Linked DNA regions of Arabidopsis thaliana. The protein of the gene in region 1 interacts with the protein of each later gene in a pairwise test. Each region holds a gene or a part of one and is shown on either strand. Other genes may lie near its edges.

Region 1 (3,756 bases):
ATAGAGAAAGAGTAGAAATCAGTGAGTTCACTTTGTCTTCTGTTGTTAAAACTTGTGCCTCTCTCAAGATTTTGCAGCAAGGGAAGCAAGTTCATGCCATGGTGGTGGTCACCGGACGCGATCTCGTGGTTTTAGGAACTGCAATGATTAGTTTTTACTCGAGTGTAGGTTTGATCAATGAAGCCATGAAGGTTTATAACAGTTTGAATGTTCATACGGACGAGGTGATGTTGAATTCTTTGATATCAGGTTGCATTCGAAACCGAAATTACAAGGAAGCGTTTCTGCTTATGAGTAGGCAGAGACCCAATGTGAGAGTGCTCAGTAGCTCTCTTGCTGGCTGCTCTGATAACTCTGATCTGTGGATTGGTAAACAGATACACTGTGTCGCTTTACGTAATGGTTTCGTTTCAGATTCTAAGCTATGCAATGGCTTAATGGATATGTATGGAAAATGCGGTCAGATTGTGCAAGCGCGTACTATTTTCAGAGCTATTCCATCTAAAAGTGTGGTTTCTTGGACGAGTATGATAGATGCGTATGCGGTTAATGGGGATGGGGTTAAAGCTCTTGAAATCTTCAGGGAAATGTGTGAAGAAGGAAGCGGAGTTTTACCGAATTCAGTGACATTTCTTGTTGTTATATCGGCTTGTGCACACGCAGGACTAGTTAAAGAAGGTAAGGAATGTTTTGGTATGATGAAGGAGAAGTATCGGTTGGTTCCTGGAACAGAGCATTACGTATGCTTCATCGATATCTTAAGCAAGGCTGGTGAGACAGAAGAGATATGGAGATTAGTCGAGAGAATGATGGAGAACGATAATCAAAGCATTCCTTGTGCTATATGGGTAGCGGTACTCAGTGCTTGTAGTCTTAATATGGATCTTACGCGAGGCGAATATGTAGCAAGGAGGCTTATGGAAGAGACGGGTCCAGAGAACGCGAGCATTTATGTGTTGGTTTCGAATTTCTATGCAGCGATGGGGAAGTGGGATGTCGTTGAAGAATTGAGAGGAAAACTGAAGAATAAAGGTTTGGTTAAAACAGCAGGACACAGCTTATTCATATGAATTGCTTTGTTTTTTCAGCATTACACTACACTTGAGCTACTGTTTTTGTGTCAAGAAACAGAGCAAGTCCACTAAAGTCTAAAGCATTGTTGTGGAACTGTCTCGTTGTCCTAATTAAGTCAAACACCAAAGAAGACATAGTCAAAAATAAAGTAGCATTGACCCACGAATAGTAGTAGGTGAAAGGGCAATGTCACATAAGGTTTAAGTTAAAGGAGTCGTTGGGATAAGGAGAAGAGAAGTCAAAAGATGTGTCCTTTTCAAAATCTATCCTTTCTTAAAAACATATCACCAGAGAGAATTGATCAAAACCACAAGAAATAATGATTAGAGCGCTGAGCACGAGGAAGGTTCGAGGCAGCTACAAGAAGCTCGGCGACGAAGAAGAAGCAGGCGCAGGGCTTTTAGAAGTGAAACCGGAGAGCGTTCCTACAAATCCCCATGGTCAATCCCCGAAGGTGAATAAACCGGTGGAGAAAACCAGGGGTTCGGCTCACCCTCTATTTAGTTTCTTCGAAATGAGTCTAAAGAGGAAGAAGAAGAAGAAGAGCACGACGACTGCAAAACCAGAATTCGCTAGGTACTTGGAGTATGTCAAGGAAGGAGGTGTTTGGGATAACACTTCAAATGGACCTGCCATATATTACAGATAGATCGGAGAAAGAGATTTCACAGAGGTTGTTTATATTTATTTTCGATTTGTGATATACCTTTCTATTTGAATAAGAAGGATGAATACATACATACATCAAAGTAGAAAGCTCGTCCATAAGCCATGATTCTGCTTCTTTGTGGACAAATCCATGTAATTTAAGTTTACAGTTTGATAGTAAGAAAAATTCTCGGTTTATTACTTGTTATCAGTAATCAGACTGGGTTTACAAATTTACGAATAAACACAGTGGGGCCCCTGATGACTACAAAAGCCTACCCGAAACACCAGGAGATGCCACGTCACTAAACATACAAAACCCCATCAAAACGCAGCCGTTCCGGTGATTCCCCAAAACCCAGCGTGATACGCGGTCGTTGCGAATGAAAGCCTTGGTGAAGAGGTTTAAATTAAGAGTTTGTTGCGACTAAAGCCTTGGAGAAGAGGTTTCTCTTTTTTCTCTCCTCCTCAGTATATATCTAATCTCTGTTTGCTCTTTTTTCGCACCATGTCATATCAATCTACCATCAATCGATCGTCTCTTCTTCCTCCGTCTGCGTTGATCTTTTCGTTTCGTCTTCTCCGATTGATGCTCTGTCGCGAGGTAACTATTTCTATCGAGTGATTTTGCTAGCTGCTGACTGTTCGATTTGATGATTAAGGTCTTGGTTCCGTGATAATCTCTGTTAAATTTAGTTTAGGCTACTTGATGTTGAATGATTAGTTTGATAATCTCGCACTCTATGGTTTGCTCCTTCCCGAAATTGAACTCTCAGATTGTTAGCTTGTTTGTATAGGTTATTAATTGCTTGACATTGATTTGGATTTTTGTTTATCCGTTATCGACTCTCTCGATGTTCATTACTTTATTAGTTGAACAACGCTCTCTCGCTGTTGTGTATCCCTATTGGTGGATTTCTAATTGAAATCTTCAATGATGCAGAGTCATGCCTACATTTTCTGCTGCCGCTTTGGGTAGATCACTAAATTCAGGGACGTCCTTATCTAGTAAATTTCCAAGCACACTGCAGTCAAAGCCGTCTATTTTGAATGATGAAAGTAAGCAACCTAAAGAAAAGACATTCACTCGTCCTCAGATGTCACCTTCTCTATATGCCACTACTAAAGAAATCCCTCATCCCAATTCGCCTTCTTCCTACCCTCCATCTCCCTATATCATCAATCACAAAGCTCGTGGGCCTGTTCTTTTCAATAGGGACTCTGAGGTGGATGGGCCTTCTCACCCGATAACCTCTGGTGAGGAAAAGATTAGTGGTAATGTAGATGTGGAGGCTACTGCCTCCTTGAGCAAGTCCACATCCCTATCATTTCCTATCACCGAGGCTATTGCGGTGGATCACACCAATGGTGTTCACACCCAAGGCATCCATGAACGTCCTGTTTGGGATTGCAGTCCCCCTCTTGGGACATTTTTGAACGAGAAGTCGGGAAGAGATATCAGCAATGGTGGGATTGGAAGTAATAATGCTACCAGTAATTTAGAATGGCAAAGTTACTTATTGGAGCCGGTAAGAATAAAAGCAGACAAGGAGCTTGAGCCTGAAAATTTCTATAACCCAGGTGAATTAGTAAGCTTCACAAGTAACACAGAGGTAGAAGATTTCGAGAGAGCTGAAAGCTCACACAGTCTTGCTACACATGTTGGAGAGTTTTATGATGCTTGCGATGGTACTGTTTCTTCCTACTAACTTTTTTAACCACGAGATAGCTAGAAAATTCTTATGATGTCTGACATTTCTAGCATCATCACTTTTTGCCAGTTCTTGGAGCCTCTTCTCCTTTAGTTTTAAGTGTTATATGCATATATCAGTATGTGATTTTGGTTGTGAAGTGGCCTTTTAGGCTTGGGATTCCTGTGTTTATAGTCATCTTGAATTCGTGATAGTTATGAATCAGATTTCCAAAGACATAGAAAATCTGCATGCATGATTCACTGGTATATCTAAGAAACTGGTTTTAATTTATTCAGTTACTGTTTCTTGGCTTCCAGAACTATCAACTGACAGTGGAATG
Region 2 (3,756 bases), on another chromosome or scaffold:
GTTTTTTGTGGACAAATTTTTTAATCTGCATTTTTCTTTGGTTGATATAAAATATTAGATGTGGAAGCTCGCAACCGGATCTGTAGAACCTCGGAGAAATACTATCGCGAATTTTGCGGCCATGCAGGAAACGACGATTGCCTTTCAAAATCAACCAAAAAACCTAAACCATTTAAATGTGTTTGCCATGATAATAGGAGTCAGAATATAACTTCAATTAATGATCGATATAATAACTGCATATGTACCTTTTATTGCTAAGTCTTAATAAACAAAATAGTAACTACTAGATATTAATCCGCGGTTTACCACTGCGAGACGATATTTATTAAATAAGAATTTCAAATTTTAAGTTGTATTTTTTTTTATATTGTTTATTTTGTTTAGTTTTTTTTTTTTTTTTTTTTTTGGCAAAATTTTGTTTAGTGTTTAAGATTGTATATTTTTATTTGATTTTGTTAATTTCACCTATAGCACACAATCATGTATTAATATCAATACAAATCCATCAATTCTAAGATTTTATCCGTGGTATAAAGTTTAAATGTTTATAATGTATAAATTTCTTATAAATGTTGGACATTCAGTTGAGAAAGACATCATATTTACCAAATCTAAACAATCTGTAAAAAATGTTACTTCTTAAATGTCGGCATCATTCATACACTTCATCGCCCCTGAAAAAAGTTTCGACTTCTATATAGAGTGGAGATAAACTTCTACGCAAACTAGTAGCTCCTATAATTGGCGACTCCCCATTTAATAAGGTGCAAAAACATCGTAATCGGTTTTAAAATTGATAGCTTAATTCTTTCTATTTTCTGAAAAAAAAATCTTTAGGTCATCATCAATGTCTGCCAATACTGTACTTGGAAGATTGAGTTTGACAGTGTGATGAACGCATCTTGCTCTTGATTAAATATATTTTACTTCCAAAAACGACACACAGTTTTCATCTCCTATGATAAGCCATGCCATGGTATGCGTCAATCGTCACTCTGCCCATTGTATACTAAATTTCTTTCTTTCCATGTTCTAAAGTTTTTTTTTTTTTTTTTGTCGTTCTTTCTTTCTTTCCATGTCCTAAAGTATTTTTTATTTTTTGGAATTACGAGAAAGAACCAAAAAAAACTTGGCTAATGCAAATCTTTGATGTGACCACGGTAGTTTCCATACCTTGCGACCGTATATCTGTATTTATCGCCACAATCGAGGATAAATATGAATATTTTACACATAACTCTAATAGATCTCCCAAATTGTATATAAAAAAAGAAAACTCCGATAGATCTAGTTTAGCTTAAAAAATTGATATGATTCTTTACACAAAACGGTAACAAAGAATTTAGACCTCCATATTTAATTTATATATGTATGCCCACATAAAGCAACATTGTTCTAAAACGCTGAAAGTGAAACATTTAAATATTCTTCCGAATAAATCGACGTGTACACGACATTGTCACCGTTGATCTATTATTGAAGCAATATTTAATTCCTCCGTAAAACATTATAACTCATCCGTAAAGACCGTGAAACATTATAACTTAGCGGTAATATGTAAATTTGTTGTGAAATAATAACATGAAAAGAAACCGAAAAGTTCCTCTTGATAACTTTTTTTTCTTTTTAATAATGTAGATTAATATAATTTTCGTTAATTATGTTTTAATGAAAAAGATTAATTAAACAAACTAATCAAATGTGTTAATTGTAATATACACAATGATACAAAAAATATGAAATAAGTTTTTAAAAATATGTGATATTCCAACAATATTCCAACTTTTCTATAACATCAGGTAAATATTTCTTCACCTTTTCATGTCAACATTTTACAAGAGAAGCATAAAACAAAACAAAAAATCCTCTCGGCAACCATATGCCTTTTAAACTAATGAGGATTTGTACTTTTTTTTTTTTTTTTTTTTTTGGGCACAAACTAATGAGGATTTGTACAAAAGCTAAATGAAAAGAGCTACAAAACTAAGCCCATAGACATATATCTCATGAAGCCACTCCAGATCACCTGATGCTACATCAAACTAAGAATGGTTTTAATTAATATATGGGCCTCAGCTGAGGAAACAAAAGCCCATTAATTTGCTTCAATATTGGTTTACCCGTTTATTCTACATGCCACGTGGAAGAATATGAGTGGTCACGATATTATAAAATGCGTCAAGGTAAACAACAAATAACAAACTCGTTTTCGAGCAAAAAAACTTTGAAGATTGATTTGAAGAAGAAAGCTCTCTCTCAGGTTCTTGTTCTCAACCAGACATTGATTTCTTCGATTTGCATATTTCCCTTCTTCGTCTTACGAATTTTACTTCCTTTAGCGATGGATTTGATACTACGTTGACTTTTATCTTCCTTTTGGAAATGGCAGCGTCGTCTTCTCTTCTTCTTCTTCTTCACTGTCCCACCTGCAATTTCTACTTTGACTCTTCCTCGTACCTTAAAAGATCGAGACTTTCGAGCTATAGTTCGATTATCTCTCGTGGGTCTCCTTTGTTTGTCTCTAGCTTTGGATCTATGACCGTTAAAAGATTCTCTAGCAGAGTCGGAAGCAGGAGCAATGACGGTAACGAACAATTTGGAGCGTTGGAGCAAGAATCTTTCATCAACAACTCATCGGAGATACGGAAAGACTTGGTCACCGGCGGTGGGATTGAAGCCATTGTTAATCGTCTGGTTAGTTAATGGAAATCTCATTCATGCACGCAATGTGTTCGATGAAATGTTTCTTCAGTATCAATGTGTGTTTCTTTCTGACCGGTTTTAATTAATGATGACAGAGCAAATGGGTTGTGTCTGTTCTATTTGGTTCAATCATTCTTTTGCGACATGATGGTGCAGCCTTGTGGGCAGTCATTGGATCGATTTCGAATTCTGCTCTCTCTGTAGTTCTTAAACGTATACTTAACCAAGAGAGGCCTACTACAACATTGCGATCTGATCCCGGGATGCCATCTTCTCATGCTCAATCCATTTCTTTCATATCTGTCTTTGCTGTTTTATCCGGTAAGCAGCTTAAGCTGTTCACTACTCATCGTTCGCTATCGTGGAACTGTTTACAACGGATTCACTCGAGTCGTGTTTTCTGCAGTTATGGAATGGCTTGGAACCAACGGTGTGTCTTTGTTTCTTAGCGGCTTAATCCTCGCATTGGGTTCATACTTTGTAAGTCTGTTATAACAAGTTTCACCTAATTGATTCAAGCTTTTCATTCATATATGAAATCATTTAGTTGCCATTGATCTCACACTCTCTGCACTATCACAGATACGGTTAAGGGTTTCTCAAAAACTGCACACAAGCAGTCAAGTGGTGGTGGGTGCCATTGTTGGTTCTCTTTTCTGCATCTTATGGTACACAATGTGGAATTCGCTTCTTCGTGAAGCCTTCGAGGCATCTCTATTAGTGCAAATATCTGTATTTCTGTTTGCAGCTACATTTGCGCTAGCTTTCGCAGCGTACGTTGTACTTAACTGGTTCAAAGACGAGAGATAAGCAATACCAAGCTTTACTTATAAAGCTTAAAATTGTTATCCCTCAAATTCTTTTCAAAATATCGAAATGAAGGATTCAGAGCCCGTTTGTTAAAATCAAGATTTTAAAAAATAAGGTTTCTTTAAGATGTAAGCAAGGCAAGCACCTTACACTAGAGCTAACATTGAATGTTAATAAGAACCAAACCGAACCAAATATTAGTGACTGTGGCTGCCACTCATCAGTATGCCACCGCAAGAA

Evidence for each region. Proteins that work in one complex are often made in the same cells at the same time.
Region 2: the proteins of AT5G66480 (region 1) and LPPepsilon1 interact in a two-hybrid assay, tested with the Arabidopsis thaliana proteins (one large-scale study listed by BioGRID).

Annotation. Positions count from the first base shown.
Region 1 is NC_003076.8:26,545,390-26,549,145, reverse strand, and holds the start of AT5G66480 (bacteriophage N4 adsorption B protein), read left to right. Parts: upstream 1-2,145; 5' UTR 2,146-2,326; intron 2,327-2,665; 5' UTR 2,666-2,669; coding exon 2,670-3,411; intron 3,412-3,733; coding exon 3,734-3,756. Other genes in the region: AT5G66500 (Tetratricopeptide repeat (TPR)-like superfamily protein), read left to right, coding at 1-1,070; AT5G66490 (uncharacterized protein), read left to right, coding at 1,394-1,723.
Region 2 is NC_003074.8:18,922,163-18,925,918, reverse strand, and holds LPPepsilon1 (Phosphatidic acid phosphatase (PAP2) family protein), read left to right. Parts: upstream 1-2,146; 5' UTR 2,147-2,385; coding exon 2,386-2,697; intron 2,698-2,801; coding exon 2,802-3,027; intron 3,028-3,112; coding exon 3,113-3,186; intron 3,187-3,288; coding exon 3,289-3,516; 3' UTR 3,517-3,615; downstream 3,616-3,756. Other genes in the region: AT3G50925 (Defensin-like (DEFL) family protein), read left to right, coding at 59-261. UniProt on the Arabidopsis thaliana protein: Exhibits phosphatidate phosphatase (PAP) activity in vitro. May play a secondary role as PAP in plastids.